Linked DNA regions of Macaca mulatta. The protein of the gene in region 1 purifies or fractionates together with the protein of each later gene. This does not show direct contact. Links are inferred from orthologs where the notes say so. Each region holds a gene or a part of one and is shown in the gene's direction. Other genes may lie near its edges. The genes, in order: RAB5A and CHM.

Region 1 (9,352 bases):
GGCGCCGGCGGCTGGCCTTAGGGGAGGAGGCAGAGGGAGGAGGAGGAGGAAGACTTCGTCGGAACTCCAGCGCCGGCGGCTGCGGCGGAGGAGGGGAAAGGAAAGAGGAAGGCGGAGCGGCGAGAGGCGGAGACGGAGCCCGACAGGGGCGGCACCACGGCAAGAGCCCCGCACAGTCCAGTGTGAGGGGAGCGACGCGAAGAGCAGACGGCGCCGCCGCCGCCACCACCACCGCCATAGACACACACTCATCCTACGGGCCACGCCTGGGCCTTGGTGCCAGGAAGCTTCGGCCCCGCAGCCCGGCTTGCTGCGGTCTCAGGTAACCGAACCGCCTCTCCCCCTGCGCAGTGGGGGTCTGGACCCCAGGTTATCCGCGATCCCCAGCCTGTCCGCGGCCCTGCGGGTACTAAGACCCCCGCCCCTTCTCCCTCATGCGCAGCAGTAGCCTGGACCAGAGAACTATCGAACCCGGCGTCTTGTTCTGCCAGCCCTGGTGACTCATCCTCAAGGGGCTCTGGAGACCGGGATTTGGGGACTGACTGAGGGAGCGACGGGTGTCACCCTTTCCCTTCTCAAGATGGCGCCGTGGAAAGTGTACTGGAGGCCGCGGTTCCGCCTGGTCCCTGTGCTGGCAGTCCTGGGGGTCTCGGTCAAAGCCAGCCAGGTTCGGGGGAGGAGGTTGGAAAGGCCAAGGGACCTGGCGAGTGGTGCTTATCCAGGCGATCTGGAGTTGGCTATAAGCTACTCAGGTGCTCTCCAAGCAGGAACCCGGGCCTACTGCAGGTGTGAATGTGGGGAGCTCCGCCTACCTGCAACTTCCAAAGACGTGTAGTGTCGGTGGGTGGGAGACTCGTCAAAATGGGCCGTCTAGAGACTCTTGTCTTATGTATGGAAGGTAGTGAACTACAGCGTTAAATAAATTCGAGATAACAGGACCGCTGAATTCCTTCAATGGGTAGAGACCATGAAACTTGTTCTGATGTTATCTTTCCTGGAAGCTGTTTACCTCTGAGACTTTCAAACTTTTAAGTTCTGAACGTCATAGTTCACATACTTGGTTTTTGTCTTGCTTAAGTGGAATCAAAGCGTTCAATCAGTTGCCTTTTACATAATAAGAAAAAAACACTTGCACATCTCTGGGAATACTCAAGACTGCTCATAAACTTTATTCCTAAAGTAAAATGGAAATGATAACTCAGCATTTGTGTAAGCAAAGTACATGAAACAGTGCCTGGCACAAAATAAGTGCCCAATTTTTTGATCAAAGAACACTTAGAAGGATTTTAACTATAGAATGAATAACAGTTATTTTCAAAAGATTACAAATGTATATTATGCAAAATTCTTGTTTTGCAAAACAAGTGTCAGTAAGCAGTGAATACAAATGAATACACGTAATTTTTAACCTTCGTGTTATGCTAAGTGTGTATTTACTATTAACTCTAGTTATTTCCTGTTTGAGATCCTCAAGGGGAGTAGCCACAGTTAAGTAACTTTAAACCTTAAAAGTCAAAGTGAAATCAGAATCTTGTTTGATTTTTTTTTTATGGGAATCTGATGTTTTGCCTGAAATTTTGAAAGTACCGTAGAAATTTGGAGCATGTTGTCCTTGATAAGTAATTTCGTGTTTTTGTAGATAAAAAGACAAATGGAAAATGTTTTAATTGATACTGCTTGTGTAATATCTGAAGATGTATTGGTGCATTTTCAGTACATATGATGTTCTCTAGATATTTTCTTATCAAAGGACCACGTTATTGACAATTTCAATCCCTACTATGTTTATTAGAGATTGTTTACATGTATTGTTTCATTTAATTGTCACAGCAGCTATGCAAGTTAGATATTATGGGAATAGAGACTTGGAAATTAAAGAATTTGCCCAGGCGGAAATTGGTATAGCCAGGATTAGACCCCCAAGTCTGGTATGTTTGTGGGGAGGGGGATTTTTATTTATACGTCGTTATTTAGAAGCAACTCAGATATTACCTCAATTAATCTGTACATATTTCAGAATGTAATGGTAAAAGATAAGGACTCTAGAAAGCTGGTGTTTAGTTAAGGCAGGGAGGTAGTTTTATTGCCTTAAGAACTAAGATCTCGTGGACATGTTAGGGAATTCAGTATCAAGAGCATATTATAAACTGATTTTATGGGAAAGGCGTATTTCTTTCTTTTGTTTTTAATATAGAGACAGGGTCTCACTGTTGCCCAGGCTGGTCTCAAGCAGTCCTTCTTCCTCAACCGCCAAGTGTTGGAATTTACCAGTATAAGCCACTGTGTCCAGTGTGAAAGACATATTTCTTACATGAGGTAGCTAAGTGAAATATAGCAGGGTTTTTAGAGAGGGAATCATCAGGTTTAATATATTAGCATATATTCGGATTTTGATTAAAGATAGAAGGAAACTGTTAAGATTGGTTTGTGAGTGGATTGAAAAAGGTTCTTCAAATATTCACTAATTCCTTAGAGATTAAAAATTAGCACAGAAGTTGCCATTCAGGCTAGATTTTTTTAATGTGTTGTTTAAATAAAAAATAATGGCCTGCAGGCTGGGTGTGGTGGCTCACACCTGTAATCCCAGCCCTTTGCGAGGCTGAGGCAGGAGGATTGCTTGAGCCCGGGAATTCAAGATCATGCTGGGCAACATAGCAGGACAGTGTCTCTACCAAAAAAGTGGCCTGGCATGGTTCTGAGCGCCTGTAGTCCCCAGCTACTCAGGAGGTTGTGGCAGGATTGCTTGAGCCCAGGAGGTGTAGGTTACAGTGAGCTATGACCATGCCACTGCACTCCAGCCTGGGTGAGAGAGCAAAACCCTTTCTCAAAAAAATTAATAAAAAAAAAAAGTCATGCATATTTTTCGTCTAAAAACTACAAAAAAGTTGCAATTAGTGTAAGTAAATAAGTCAGTAATAATCCCACCACATAGAGAAAAACTGTTAGCATTTCTGTGTATGGTATACTTGAGCAGATGAAGAAACAGTTTTAAGTCTGTCTGCCATTAGGCACACAAACCTGGGATACTGAAAATATTTGTTGTCCAAAATTACCGTTAATTAAATGAAAAATGTGTCGTTTAACAGAAGACTTCAAATAATACTAAACTCTAGGATCTGTTCTAAAAGCTTCCCATATATTAATAACATAATTTTTCTCAAAACAATGTTAACCCAAGTAGCCTGGCTACAAAACTTGAACTCAAGTCATCTCTCAGGTTGCCTGGGTTTGAAACTCAGCTGTGTGTCACTTCTGTGACAGTAACTATGTGACCTCAATTAAGCTTCTTAACATCTCTGTGCTTGTTTCCTCATTTATAAGGATTGTAATAATATCTCATTTTATAGGATTGTTGAGAAGTTAAGTACTTAAAGTACTGCCTGGCACAAAGTTGAAGCTTTGAGGTTAGCCTTTAAAAAAAAAAAAAAAAGAAAAAATGATTTTGGGCTCAAATCCTATACTTTTAAATTTCCTTTAAAAGATAGTGACATTGAAGGTCTAGTAGAGCTTAAGATAATCGTGCTATAGGCAAATTTTAAAGTGATTAATAGTAAATTTGCTTTACTGATTTGTATATTTAATTCATAATTGTTTCTTTACAGGTTTCTTTACCTCCAGAAAGAAGAATATTGACCCCTTGAATTCTGGAAGTTCATTGAAGAATCTGAAATTAAGGACTTATTTCAAATTTGGACATGGCTAATCGAGGCGCAACAAGACCCAACGGGCCAAATACTGGAAATAAAATATGCCAGTTCAAACTAGTACTTCTGGGAGAGTCTGCTGTTGGCAAATCAAGCCTAGTGCTTCGTTTTGTGAAAGGCCAATTTCATGAATTTCAAGAGAGTACCATTGGGGGTGAGATTTTCTTTTTTCCCTGCTTCATTTAATCGAATCATACGTTGACAAAGTATTTTGATGTTCCAATTGTGTGATTATGAATAGCTAAGTCATAGAGTGAAGAAAAGAGCTGTTCAGCTTACCTTAAGCTTTAAAACTTGCCTTTATTTTTGTGAAAATGATGTGTTTTTACATTTGATTGTTTGGTTAATCCCTTGTGGTTATATTGTCGCTAAAATACAGATAAAAACATGAGTAGAATCAGTGTCTCAAGTAATATGACTTGACCTGATACCTATTTCTAGCTAACAAGTAGAAGCTTCTTCAAATTAATACAGTACATGTTTGTGCTCAATTATATTGGTTTAAAATGAATAGTAAAAAAAAGTAACCTTAAATTCTGATCTATATAACTGAACTATTTGTAAATCATTATACTTATTTGTAAAATTAATTAAATATAATTAAATACTGCTAGATGTACTTTTTTTGTTGTTATTTAAGAGATGGAATCTTGCCTAGGCTGGAGTGCAGTGTCCGGATCATAACTCACTGCAGACTGCAGCCTGGAACTCTCAGCTCAAATGATCATCCTGCCTTAGCCTCCCACTAAGTAGTTGGGCCTAAGGGTGCTTGCCACCATGCCAGGCAAGTTTGTTTTTTTTTTTTTAAGAGTCTCAGTCTTGCTGTGTTTCCAGGTTGGTCTTGAACTCCTGGCCTCAAGTAAGCCTCCATTCTCAACCTCCCAGGTAGCTGTGATTATAGGTGCTCCCTGCTAAGATGTACATGTAAGAATGCTCCTAAGCTGAGGGAAGAGAAAAAGTGATTAATGGAAAGGGACATGACAGGAAAATGGAACCTGAAGAAAAAGATGAAATGAGAAGGGAAAAATAGGCACTGACAAGGTGGTCATGGTGCGACAGAGATGAGGGGAAGGTAAGATGCAGGGTGAAAAGGAGACAGCGAACAGTACGGTATTGTCAAGAGAGGACATGAAGTGGGAAAATTGAATTTTAGCTGGGCGTGGTGCTGCATTCCTGTAGTCCCAGGTATTTGGAGGCTGAGGCAGGATTATTTTAGCCTAGGAGTTCAAGTCTAGCCTGGGCAACACAATGAGAACCCATCTCTTTAAAAAAAAACAACAAAAAAAAATTGACTTTAATCAAAGAAACCTATAATTATATAGCTGTGGGACAAGAGAGCCTCTTTTGGGCCGCTGTTTAATCTGTGAAATGATGCTTTTAATCTGTGAAATGATGCTTTTCAATTAGATGAAATGTGGGAAGAATGACACAGTTTGAGATTCACGATATTTTGCAAGTGATACATAATTAAGCAATGCTCTTTTCTGAGGTATTTGTATATATGTTTTAACCCCATCCTGTAAAATTAAAGTCAAACTGTGGAGATAAGACAGGTAGATACCAGCTGGCATGTGGCAACTTCTTGGAATCTGTCTTTCAGAAGCAAAACTTCATACTGTGCATTTAGTGAGTGTTCTTCAGCAAATATGCTTGAGAATGTTATTCATAATCTTAGACCCATTCTAGTAAGATAAGTTACAGAACTCTACTGCCTCCTGGCCCTTGTATATCTTGTTACAATGTTATATTAGAATGTTTTATGTTTTTTCTAATTGCTGAACATCAGAAAGCATCATGGAGCTTTTGAGTCAGAAGTCTTGACATTTTAAAAAATGTTAATACACAATATATTAGACATCCTTTGTGATCTTTTTTTTCCTTGAAGGTACATCCACATGTGATTTTGTTGTTGTTGTTAATACACTATATCCATTTTAATAATGAAATACTGCTTCTCTAGGTTTCGCTTCCTCCAGAAGCAATTTAATCTAAAGCTAACAATTTAATCTAATTAGTCCAGTAGGAAAAGGTTAAAGAATGCTAGATCATGTACACCCACTTACTTTACTGTTAATGGCAGCATTTCCCAAAGTATATATGCATTCTGGGTTAAATACCTGGGCCAAATACGTTTGGGAGTTACTATATGCTACTCTTTTCTCCTCTCTTTATTATTTTATTAAAATAATAAAAAATCTGAAGTACTGTAGTATAGAACTTAATTCCTGGGGAGCTTTGCAAGAGCTTAAGGTTAGAATTTTTATCTTGTTTTGGGTAATCCACTTCTAAGTTTATTTTTTCCTAATGATAGCTCAAGAAGGGTGTTTAAAAGAAAAATATAACCCATATCCTGTGTATCATAAACATATCTCTGATACGTGTGTATCTCCATATAATGTCCATGTAACACCAGTTAGATTGTCTTGATTTCATTAATGAATTTTTCGTAAAGATTTTCATTTCTATTTGTAGAGCTTCCTATTTAAAAACAAAAATGAATTTGCATCCAAATTTCTATTAATCCTTTTTTTTTTTTTTTTTGAGACAGGGTCTCTGTCGCCCAGGCTAGAGTGCAGTGGCGCCGCCCTGGCTCACTGCGACCTCCGCTTCCCAGGATTGAGCGATTCTCATGCCTCAGCCCGCCAAGTACCTGGGACTATAGGCGCAAGCCACCACTCCTGGCTAATTTTTGTATTTTTAGTAGAGATGGGGTTTCACCATGTCGGCCAGGTTGGTCTTGAACTCCTGGCCTCAAGTGATCCGCCCGCCTTAGGCTCTCCAAGTGCTGAGATTACAGGCATGAGCCACTGCCCGTGGCCTTTCTGTTAATCTTTATTGGATACTTTTTCACTGTGCTGACCCCATGTGAATACTATTCAGGAGGTATGACAGTACCATTATGATTATAGCTGTGGACACTGTTCTTTTATGCTCTGTACTCATAGCTTTTCACCTTTAGGAGCTAGAGTAGATGTAAAACATTTAAGAATTTTAAGGTTTGAGCTATTTCATGATCAACTCAAAAGGTCTATAACTTGCAGGTAATACGTATTTTTGTTTTGACTGACAGGTAGTAGAAGTTACCTGAAAAATGAAGCCAACCAACTCTTTTGCATTTCAACTGTTGGGTTTTTTTTTTTTCTTTTTGAGACAGAGTTTCACTACGTGGCCCAGGTTGGAGTGCAGTGGTATGATCTAGGCTGACTGCAACATCCACTTCCCAGGTTCAAGCGATTCTCCTGCCTCAGCCTCCTGAGTAGCTGGGATTACAGGCCCACACCACCACTCCCAACGAACTTTTGTATTTTTAGTAGAGACAGGGTTTTGCCATCTTGGCCAAACGGGTCTCAGACTCCTAACCTCAAGTGATTCACCTGCCTCGGCCTCCCAAAGTGCTGGAATTATAGGCGTGAACTACCATGCCTGGCCTCAGCTGTTTAATTTTCACTTTACTGTTTATATCTCCTGACTTGAGTTATTGTTCTGAAGCACTCACTTAAAATTTTCATCTCTATTTGATTGTGTTCAAAGGTGGATATCATATGTTACATTCTTTGTGGATTCTGGATCCACAAAGAAAGAATATCAAGATTTCTTCTGTAATTTGTGTGGTTCTTCCTAAATATAATAACTTGATTTAAAAATTCCTGTTGCACTGGGCATGATGGCTCACATCTGTAATCCCAGCACTTTGGGAAGCTGAGGTGGGCAGATCACTTGAGTCCGGGAATTTGAGACCAGCCTGGCCAACATAGCGAAACCCCATCTTTACAAAAAATACGAAAATTGGCCAGGCGTGGTGGCACACACCTGTAGTCCCCGCTACTCAGAAGGCTGAGGTGGGAGGATTGCTTGAACTCAAGAGGCGGAGGTTACAGTGAGCCGAGACTACACCCCCACACTCCAGCCTAGGTGACAGAGTGAGAACCCTGTTTCAACCAAAAAAAAAAGAATCCTTGTTGCCTCACCATACTTCATGCATCTTACCCCTATAGCACTCTTGATGAAATTGCATGCAGCAGATTTAGCAATTTAGAGAGTTCTAGCTTGTTTGTAGGGGTTTAAAGTTTGCATGACATTTATGTTTTTATTGTTTGTCTGAAGTTAGCCGAGAAGTTAACAAGGAGCAGTAGGCTCAGAGAGTTGTCTTCCTTCTTTGCTTGGTACTGCATCTCTAGGCTCAGGAGCTCTTCAGTAAATACTTGTTGAATGAGGGCTAGCCAGCTTTCGTTTAGCACCTTGAATACCTGAAAAAACTTTAAAGATTCCTAGTGAGTTTCTCTTCTCAAGAAATATTTATTTTTAAGAAGACATTTATGTGATATTTATAAACAAATTAATCCTCAGTAGTTAGAATATGCGGTGAAATAACAAGCAGACAGTCCTTTTTTTCTCTTCTGAGAAAAGTGCTTCATACCACAGTTACAATTTTGTTTGCACTAATCAAAAATGTCTTATAGACTCTAAAGTTTAGGTAATGGAACTGTACATGAAAACATTAACATTCCTCTTGCTGGTTCTGTGATTTTTGAACATTAGCTTAGAACAGTGGTCCTCAAAGAGCATTCCCACTTCCAGAAGCAGCTGCATTAACTAGGAACTTGTTAAAATGCAGAATCTCGTGTTGAATCAAAGCATTTGGGTGGGACCAACAATTTAGGTTTTAATAAGTTTTCCAGATGATTCTGATGGCATGCTAAATTTGAGAACCACTGCTTTATGTGTTCTGAGTAGTTGATTTTACATTGATACTAACATTGATTCTCCCATACACAGAATAATTGTGGGGTTTTTTTGAGGTGCGGTGTTTGTCGGAATTTTAAAAACATTGTTGACCGGGTGCGGTGGCTCATGCCTGTAATCCCAGCACTTTGGGAGGGTGAGGCTGACGCTGGAGATCACGAGGTCAGGAGTTTGAGATCAGCCTGGTCAACATGGTGAAACTTCATCTCTACTAAAAATACAAAAATTAGCTGGGCGTGGCAGTGGGTGCCTGTAACCCCAGTTACTCAGGAGACTGAGGCAGGAGAAACATTTGAACCCAGGAGGCGGAGGTTGCAGTGAGCCGAGATCGCGCCATTGCACTCCAGCCTGGGCGACAGGGCGAGACTCCACCTCAAAAAAAAAAAAAGAAAGAAATTTATTGCAGTTATTAACTCTAAGTGAAGTGCTGTTTCTACTTATATATTTAACACCCATCTAAATTGGTTAGCATGGCAAACTAGTTGTTTTTATTCTAAAACAACATCTAACAGGAATAAAAGTTACTGTTAAAATGAAGAAAAACAAGGCTTGTTTCAAACTTATTATTAACATACTATTTTACCTAACAATTCATGGCCAAGTAATTCTCAAGAATAAACCATTGTGGTTAAGAAAGAAGACTGTATCCAGATTAAAGTTTTTACCACAATGCCTGGCACAGAGTAAAAGGTTTATTAAATTATAGCTATTACAGTTACCATCACCACTGTTACTTTTGGCTGAGTCATTTTATCACTGTTGATATTTTTGTTGTATTGTCATGATATAGTATTATCTTGAGATGGTAGCTGTTACACCTAGTGCATAGCATTTGATTTAGAAAATTTGAAGATTTGAAAAACTTTGTGTTTTCCTTTTTTTTTTTTTTTTTTTTAAACAGCCTG
Region 2 (9,851 bases), on another chromosome or scaffold:
GTGTCAAGGATGATTCTTGGGTTTTTGACTTGAATAGCAGAGTAGAAGGTGGTACTATTTCTAAGACAGGGAATGCTGGATGAAGAGAAGATTTGGGAGCGGGATTCAAATGTTCAGTAGTTCAGCATTGGACATGTTTGGAAGAGATGTTCAGTAAGAGATTGGATATGTGGGTCTGGAACACAAAGGAAAGGTCCCAGTGATAGAGACCATTAAATTATGATTTGTATAACGATAACAGCCAGATTTCATAGTTGAGTAAATGTCTGAATACCAGGTAAGTGTTCAAGGAATCATGCTTTTTCAATTCAGGAAATAATTAAGTACAAAATTAGTGCCACAGTGATTTTAATAGAGTGGTCAATTTTTAGGTATCTGTTATCTCATTGTACTGTGACTTATCCCAATAAAATACTTAAGCTCTCAATAATAGATATCCTTAGAGTAACAGAATAGATGCAATTCAGCTGTTTTGCTTTATGCTTTTTTACTGTAATTATTGACTCCTATATTCATCTTTACTTTGCATAAAGTCTACAAAAATACATTCGAAAGAAAAGGTATTTGGAGCATTTTCTCCATGCACAAGATTGAAATTTTCCTAATGTAATAATATTTTCTATGCCCAGAAAAGGGCATGAATGAGTCCCGTAATGATTTTAGAGAAAGGACAGCAAAATAGAAGTTGTTAATATTATCCTTCTGAGGATCATGCTTTCTATCCTTAGGGGAAAAAAGAAAGTTTCAAATTCAGGGCAGCACAGATTGGAAAATCTATGCTACAGAGTAATTACTTGTTTATTTTGTTTTACCCTACTAAATGTAAACTTCATGAAGACAGGGGTCCTTGTCTATTTTGTTCATTGCTCTAATCTCAGCATCCAAAATAGTGTCTTGCACATAGTAGGTGTTCAATGAATATTTGAGGAATAAACAAATTAATGAATTGCATCTTCATGGTGTGATTGTCAGAAAATTTCTGAATTCCTAGAAAGAGATACTCATATTGAAAAGTATATGTATGTGGTTTATATATCTCATATACATGAACAAATGTATAGAAATATATATCCAAAGTATGGTAGAAATACTTTTATTTATCAGATTTTTAACCATCCATCTGTGGCTTCTATTAGAGAAGATTTTGGAAAGTTTCCTGTGTTTACTCTGAGAAATTCATTTGTTTCCATTTTCTACTGTCATATCAAGAGCCTCACAAATAATATCTATTTCACTTCTGATAATACTAAAAACTTTCTTTACATACCAAGCCAAATGACAGAGTGATTTACTGAACAGTGCATTATACTTCTCAGGGGAATCTCTTTTACAGGAAATACTAATCAAAGACCATATCATAAGAGAATTGTGTAATACAACTGGATGATCTATAAAAGAAATTAATGAAACATGTACAGTGTTGCTAATGATTATGGTAAAATGCAAGAGAAATGCAGTAAAAACCCATCAAAATATATTTTAAAGCATTTTCATGGAAATATTTACAATTAATGAACACTGAACATCTTCTAAATATAAGGCACATGATAGTGGTGGGCAGATATAAAGGCGAAGATGGTAAGCACTATGAGGACAGGGACTCATCTCATCCATCCATTAAGGGAGTCAAAATCAAGTTTGGTTTAGCAAACATTTATTAAATTCCTACTGTGCACCGGGCTTAGGTTAGGTGCGAGAGTGAAAAAGATAAACGAGACTTGGTGTCTGTCATACTGTACAGGGGTTTCTAATTATGGTATTGCATGTCTGCGTGTGTATTTTTGTGTGAATATGTGGGGATATGTGTACTCTATAGGAATCGACATAAATGCAAACTGTCGAAGCAGTACGGCAGGTTAAGACAAAGTCTAGCACCGTGTAGGAAAACAGCCCACACACGGAGATGAAAGGAGGAGGAGGTGGAAGCCCAACGACATCCTGGGAATAACTGTTAGCTAGAGAATGGGAAGATCATTCCACGCTGAGCATGAGTGTGGTCACAGATACTGGAAAGAAAACAATGTCTGGGGAACCACAAGCATTTTAGAGGATAGGTGGTATCGGGGAAGGCCCACTCCTGCACACTATCTTCGATTTATTTTGAAACTCTTGTAAAATAACTACACAAGAAATTTCTGTGATCAAAAAAGTATCCTGCTTCATTCCCAGCATCCTTCCCCTTTTGCTTTGGTGTTGTCAGACAGCGGAGTATTTTAAATGATAGGGGTCGGGGTAGGGGGCGGATGAAGGGAAGCGGTGGGAGGTGACAGACCTTGAAGATACTTATGAGAACTCTGTTAGCTGTTAGACATAGACGACCTAAAGTCCCTCGTCAAATACAATCACTTTAATATAAAGGCCATTTAACCTTAATTATTTCTACGGTAGCTTATGGAAACGAATAGATTGGAAACTAAATGTAAACTAAGGAGAATCTTGCATGAACTTATCTAGTTCGTGCGGAAAATCAAATTCAGACTCAACAAACGCTTATCCAGTACAACTATGGTTTCATATATTTTTTCCCTCTTATAAAACAAGGCTAATCTATTGCCCGAGTGGCTGTCTGGACTAATTAGAACAAATGCGGACGCGGTGAGAGTTCCATTCTGAAGAAACTAGGGTGAGAGGTTTTTCGTGGGTTTTCATTGAGGAGACATGGAAACGAAAAAGATATGGAATATATTTTGAAAGTATTGGTGTGAAAAACCGTGCCTCGAGGGCCAACACGAAAGTACAGACACGACGGCGGGAAACAGTTTTTTAGGCTGGATGAAAATCTCCTTTGTTCACAGAGCAAACCGCTTTCAATTTCACTCCGCTCTCCGTGTCTCCTAACAATTCTTGCTTCAGTATTGTCAAGGGGTATCCAAGTCTCCCACATTCATCCTAGCTAACGGAATAACAATCTACATTTCTTTCCTACTTCAACCCTCCAGGCTAAATGAGCTACAGCACTCAGCCTGGAAAATCAGTCGAGCTTTTAATTTACGTGTAAACATTTTAAATATAATACTGTAGTCGCCTGCCAGGACCTTCCACCCAAGAACTACACCACCCAGAATGCATTGTTTTCCTTTCCGCCTTCCACTGAGGGAATGCCTAACTTGATCTCATTTCCACAAGTAATAGTCACATGACGCGTTTCCCGTCAAGATGGCGGATACTCTCCCTTCGGAGTTTGATGTGATCGTAATAGGGACTGGTATGTGTAACCTGGTACTTCCTGGACAAAGTTTAGGAAGACTGTCTTGTTTCTATTTTTTCTGTGAGTGGCGAGTTTTGGGACAAACATCGTGGGTCGAGGGTGGGAGGGAGAACGGAAAGGAAGTGAGGTAGTCCGGAGTCAGCGCGGGAATTGGCAGTTACAGGGAGGGGCTTGGACCCGCAGTGCTTATCGCCATTTGAGTAGGGGTTGATCTGGTCGATGCTGATTGCTGAGGTTGGTTGCTGCGGTGATTCCTGTTAATTTCCTTAGAGGGAAGTGGATGTGCAGTGTCATGAAATGGAGGGTCGGGATTTTATCAACGGAGACGACTTTGGCAAGACATTATGATTCCTTCCTTATTGATTTCAAGGTGATATTCCCCATCATTTTGTCTCGCCATTTCATAGGACTTTTTCATAGATTTGTATGATCCTAGGGTACATCGCAGCTCAGGCACAGCTTAATCCTCAGTTTTACAAGAAAGATGATCAGTTATTGCCCATGTGCGTATGGATTTACTAGGGAAAGCAAACGGATTCTATTTTGTTGAGAAACCTAGGGAATTGTATTTTGTTGAGGTAGCCATTATTCCTGCTTTATGGTGCTTAAAGCATTTCTACCGCCCATAACTGAATGTGCTGAGAATAAGGTCCTGAGTTCCAGTTCAGGTGTGTGACCTTATCTAATTCTTTTCCCGTCGTTTGTTCTTCATGTTTTGGGTGGAACCAGAAACTCCTCTGCAATTTCTGTTTGACATATGCAGTGTACAACACGTAGCAGAAGACATGTGGCAGCAAATTCATTTTTTTAGAAAAATAGTGTAAGGGATGATCATTTTAGGTGGGATGAAATAGGTTGTTTGATGGGGTTTTCTACTGTTTGTAGAATGTGGTAGGCCAGAGAAGCTCTGGTGGATGGGACCCTGTCCATTGTGTTAATGAATTCAGTTCGTTGTCTTCTCAAACAGCCGTGATGAGGAGCAGCCATGTTTTCAGGATGGGAGTAAAAATAATAGCTACCTGTTTTCGAATGCTTAAAATTTCCTAATCACTGTGCTAAGCACTTTACAAGCCGGACATAATCCTCACAACCTTGTTAGAGTAGTAGGTACTCTCTGCATTTTGTAGAAGAGGAAAAGGGGACTTGGAAAGGTTGTAATTTGCTCAGGATCACACAGCTTGTAAATTTCCAAAGGCCCCTTCCATCCCAGAAAAACAATCCGTGGTTCTGATCCTCAGAGTTGACCCATATTCGTAGAAACAATTGAGAAAACCGAAAACCTGGTTTTAGGCCTTGCTTAGTGCTAGTGTGAATTGCTTGAATTGGGGCGGGGGGGGGGGGGGCGCAGGCACTACATCTCTCTGAGCCTCAGTTTCCTTGTTTTTGATATAGGGAAGGTAAACTAGATGGGGTTTATGTTGTCTAACAAAAAATGCCTGGGTAATAGTTCTCAGAACAGCACGGACCTGTTTATTCGTAGCCTGAAAATAACAGCATGGCTACAAATAACCTGGTTGTAGTTGCTATGAACAGATGTTGGATGAGAGCTGGAAAGAGCCAATGAACTATTCATTTGTTCTTTCCAGTCTATACTAAAACTGAGAACAACATCCATTTTGGAATAGTTGTTATTACCATACTTGAGATTTATAATCTTGCTTTTTTTGTTATGTAGGAACTTGAGGTGTTTTTAACAATTTTTTTAATCAACAATTTTTCTTTCAGGTCTGGGTTCAAATTTTAATTGATGAATGTTAATTCTTATGAATGATGCTAATGCTTTTCATAAATATTTTGCCTTCTGTACAGTTCAGATATGGAATACATCCATCCTGATGGAGTTTGTTTTGGTGGAGGTAGGAAGTTATAGTGAGTGAGCCAGAGAATTGCATCAGGTGACATTGCTTATATTTGGAAAAAGACTCATATTATATTTATCCCAGTGAGTGCAATATTATTTTTCAGTGTTTGGGAAGAACTTATTTGAAGTTAATCTTAAAACTGAAATTTTTCATATTGTTTATTGGTGACACATTCTAGGTTTTATCAAGCACATTGCTTAAATTTATGATATGTAATTTTGTTTTTAGGTACATCAAAAGTGTAAAAATTGAATAAAAGAGTCATTCCCCAAATAAACGATTCCAACAAATCAAAAGTGTAAAAATTAAATAAAAGAGCCATTTCCCAAATAAATGATTCCAACAATTCCAATCATTATTTATTTTTTAGCGCGCTTGGAATATTTCTCTTGTGAAATAGTTTGCTGAAAGTTGCCTTTAAAATGTTTGCTTTATTAAATGTATTACATTGAGTAAAACATAGAAAAAGCAGTGTTTCATAGATTCAGTTGTATTAACAAAAGTAGAAGCAATAATGCATGCATCAGAAACATGAAGAAATAGGCTATTAGATATACTTTTTAGCATATTTAGTCCTAGGTAAAATGTCCTAAAGGGACAATTGCTTCATCAAGTATAATCATGTGAAGATAATATTTTATAATCCCTTTGACCTTGATTAACTTGCATTCTCATTTTCTGTAATTCAAGATGGAAATTTTTCCTTAAGATCATATTTTCAGGAGATTATGGGAAAAATAAACTTTGTATTTTCTTAGTTAAGCCCATTTCCTTCTGATTAGAAAATACAGTAAATATCTCTTGAACACCCAAAGACAGAAGAGTAAGATAAAGTGAATTGTGGAAAAAATAGAAGAAAATGGAATAAAGAAGGAGGGTCAACTGGAGTCTCAAGGGAGAGGATAAAAATAGATATATGTGGTAAGGGTCTAGAAAGTGCTCCTCCATAGCTTGGGCACAGAATTGTCATTTTTCAGGATATTTTGCCATTTAAAAAGTCATTTAAATGACAGTTTTGTGGATTATAGACAAGTACCATTGGTTTCAGGTTAAAAATAGTCCCAGTAACATAACATCTCACTGGAGGTGACTTATCTGGCAGCCTGTGTAATCTGCAGCACAGCAGAGCCAAGAGCTCAACAGAAGAGCAGTCAAGATGGACGTTATAAGACCTATATGATAGTATTGAAATGCTTCATACATAGGGGAATCCCTGAGATCATCACTTAGAACATATTCATCCTCATTTTAAAAATAATTCTAGCAAGTTCAGCATATTAGAACCACCCCCTTAGAAGATACAAGAAATGTTATCAACTTCTGAAAAGACTATGTTTGGTGGGGGGTGCTCTTAGGCATATAAATGACAGTTTATATCTGTATAGGAAAGGGAAGAGAAAAACACATAAAATGCAAACTTAACATCAAACATCACAAAGCCCCGATAACATTTAGTGTAGTGACAGATATTCATTTTTCAGGTCATTCAACCCACGTTTATTGAGAACCTAGTCCCTTCCCTTGTGAAGTTTACTGCATTGCCTATTCTGAGGAACTTTTTGGGCTTCCTAACAGTCATATCCCCAAAGCTGTTCTTAAGACAATGTAGGCTTTTCATTGCATCCTTCTTTCTTTTTGAAGACCATACAGAGATTCAGCCTGCATTTTTTTTCCCTTTTTAAAAGCACACTGCTCACATCTTTTGGAGTTCTTCCCCTAAGATGGGCTGCAGAGTATGTTAGCTTAATTTTTCTCCTGAATAGGATAAACACATAGATTCTTTTGATTTAAAAGTTTTATTGTTAGCCAAGCATGGTGGCGTGGGCGTATAGTCCCCCTTACTCCATAGGCTAAGGCGCAGGCATCCCTTGATCCTGGAAGGCGGAGGTTGCAGTGAGCTTCAATGGTGCCACTGCACTCTAGTCGGGGAAACAGAGTGAGACTGTCTCAAAAAAAAAAAAAATAAATAAAAATAAAGGTTCATTGGCCAGGTGCAGTGGCTCACAACTGTAATCCCAGCACTTGGGGAAGCCGAGGTAGGTGGATTGCTTGCTCAGGAGTTAGAGACCTCAGCCTCCCAAGTAGCTGAAATGGGCAACACAGCAAAACTGTATCTCTGCAAAAAAATACAAAAATTAACTGGGTATGGTGACACATGCCTGTAGTCCCAGCTACTTGGAAGGCTGAGGTGGGAGGATTGCCTGAACCTGGGAGTTTGAGGCTTCAGTGAGCTATAGTTGTGTCACTGCACTTTAGCTTGGGCGACAGAGCAAGCCCCTGTCTCAAAAAAAAAAAAAAAGTTTTATTGCTAAAGATTATGGGGAAAGAGAAGGGATAACAAAGATAAACACGAGGGAAATTATAAGGACTACTGCCCCTAAATCCTGATTATCTTGCTAGATAGTGTTTAGCACCATACAGTAGTAGATGTGGCAGCATGGTATATGGTAATCACATGACCATTCTATTGTGTGATTTTTGGGAAAATTACAGAATTTCTTGCGACATCATTTAGTTCATCTGTAAAGTGAGATTTCAATAGTTGATCTTCAAGGTAGGGATCTACCAGCTCTAAAATTACCATTGTATATTTCTATTTATAACACCATGTCCTTGAGAAAAGGCTAAATTGTGTTCTGTGTAGTCTTTTTAAGAAGGAAGGTCAGTGTTTAATATACTTCAGAAATTTTCCTATAAAAATGGCTTATATGGTTTGGATATTTGTCCTGCCCAAATCTCATGTTGAAATGTTATCCTTATTGTTGGAGGTGGGGCCTGGTGGGAGGTGTTTGGGTCATGGGAGCAGATCCCTTATGGCTTGGTGCTGTTCTTGTAATAGTGAGTTCATTCTTGCAGGATCTGGTGGTTTATTTAAATTTTTTTTTTTTTTTTTTTTTTTTTGAGACAGGGTCTTGCTCTGTCACCCTGGTGGAGTGCAGTGGCACAATCATGGCCCACTGCAGCCTTAACCTCCTGGGCCCAAGCAATCCTCCCACCTCAGACTCCCAAGTAGCTGAGATCACAGACATGCACCACCATGCCTGGCTAATTTTTTTTTTTTATTTTTGTAGAGATGGGGTCTCCCTATGTTGCCCAGGCTGGTTTTGCACTTCTGAACTCAAACAATTTACCTGCCTTGGTGGCCCAAATTGCTGGGATTACATATGGGAGCCACTGTGCCTGGTCGACTGGTTGTTTAAAAGTGTGTGGCATCTCCCCACACTCTCGCTTGTCTTGCCTGTCACCAAGGGAGATGTCTGCTTCCCCTTTGTCTTCTGCTATGACTAAAAGCTCCCTCAGGCCTCCCCAGAAGCCGAGCAGATGCCAGTACCATGCTTGTACAGCCTGCAGAACCCTGAGCCAATTAAATCTCTTTTCTTTATAAATTACCCAGTTTCAGACATTCCTTTATGGCAACATAGGAACGGCCTAATAAAATACAATAACTGATTAGAAATGGCATTTTCTTAAAAATGATAGGCTGCTTTTTTCAGAAAAGGTCATGTAAGTAGCACAGTCCCATTCCTTGATGTTGGTGAATTTAAACATTAAGGTAGTTAACCTTGACTGGCAGCTCATTGACTTATGATGATGTTGGAATAGCATCACTTCTCTAAGCTTTGGAGGATAGTAATATTGTAGGAGGTGTTGTGAAAACTGATATTTACCAAATATCTGTTTGTGCCAGCCTCAACACAAGTGATTTCCTATATATCTAACCTAATCTTCTCCCAGGATGCCTGGATGTGGTTCTCAAATCACAGGATGTCCATAATCCTCCCTGTGTATTTCCAAAATCTTCACATCTATTGTCTACAGTGGATTTTTAAAAATTGTAAGATGCCACCTATTTGTGGATCGTGGCGTGAATTCCAGCATTATAAAAATGAGGTAGACTATATCAGAATGCATGTAGTAAGGATGAATGTTGTTTTTTTATATATATATAACATATATATAACATAACATCTATGTAACGTATGTTTTATATATATATAACATTATATATATGTATATACACACGTGTACACACACACACACACACTCGTTTTTGGAGAGGGCAGGGTCAAAACATTTAAAGCCTAGAGTATATTGATCAGCTGAATGACATAACGAGTAGGAGTGAAATGGTATTTCAAAAGTCGTTTAGTTTTACAAATGCCATACATTACATATATATATTTTTTCACTTTGACATGCGTGTATCTCATTTGAGCAGTATAGTGTAGCGATTGACAATGTGGCTCTGGAATCAGACACTCTGGGTTTGAGTTCAGCTATTCCACTTGTGTCATCTTAGACATTTTCCTTATTCTCTTTGTGTTTCAATTTTCTTATCTATAGGATAAACTTCACAAGACTGTGTTGAGGATTCAATGAAATAATTCCTATAAAAATGCTTAGTAGGTGCTCATAAAATTCAGTTGACTTGTATGGTTGTAATGCCATACCAAGGTGCTTTTACTACTACTGTTATTTCGTGAATGCTTTCCAGGAAGGGGTCACGATTTTCGTGAAGAATGGTGGAAGGATTGAGTGTCTGATTTATGTTTCTCGTCTTCTCATTGGCTGCTTGGTGGGAAAGACCTTTATGTGTCTATTATCACTATTTCTATCAGATTTCTTACCTAGTGGCTTACAGGTTTTCTTTTTTTCTTTCTGTTTTGTCTTCTCTTTTGTTCACTAGCTTGCATTATTTATCATTGGTTTTCCTCATAGTTTTTGGAACAGATTTAGCATTGGTCTTATTTGAGGTATACTATGAAACACTCCCTTGTCAA

What was found.
Region 2: the proteins of RAB5A (region 1) and CHM purify together in Homo sapiens (affinity purification with mass spectrometry; 3 studies listed by BioGRID and IntAct, counting the BioPlex papers as one, with this or other methods). This does not show direct contact. The link is inferred for Macaca mulatta from reciprocal best matches to the Homo sapiens genes RAB5A and CHM.

The regions. Positions count from the first base shown.
Region 1 is NC_133407.1:28,605,161-28,614,512, reverse strand, and holds part of RAB5A (ras-related protein Rab-5A), read left to right. Parts: 5' UTR 1-322; intron 323-3,602; 5' UTR 3,603-3,695; coding exon 3,696-3,858; intron 3,859-9,352. UniProt on the Homo sapiens protein: The small GTPases Rab are key regulators of intracellular membrane trafficking, from the formation of transport vesicles to their fusion with membranes.
Region 2 is NC_133426.1:92,461,732-92,471,582, reverse strand, and holds the start of CHM (rab proteins geranylgeranyltransferase component A 1), read left to right. Parts: upstream 1-3,130; 5' UTR 3,131-3,156; coding exon 3,157-3,268; intron 3,269-3,382; exon of another isoform or gene 3,383-3,578; intron 3,579-9,851. UniProt on the Homo sapiens protein: Substrate-binding subunit of the Rab geranylgeranyltransferase (GGTase) complex.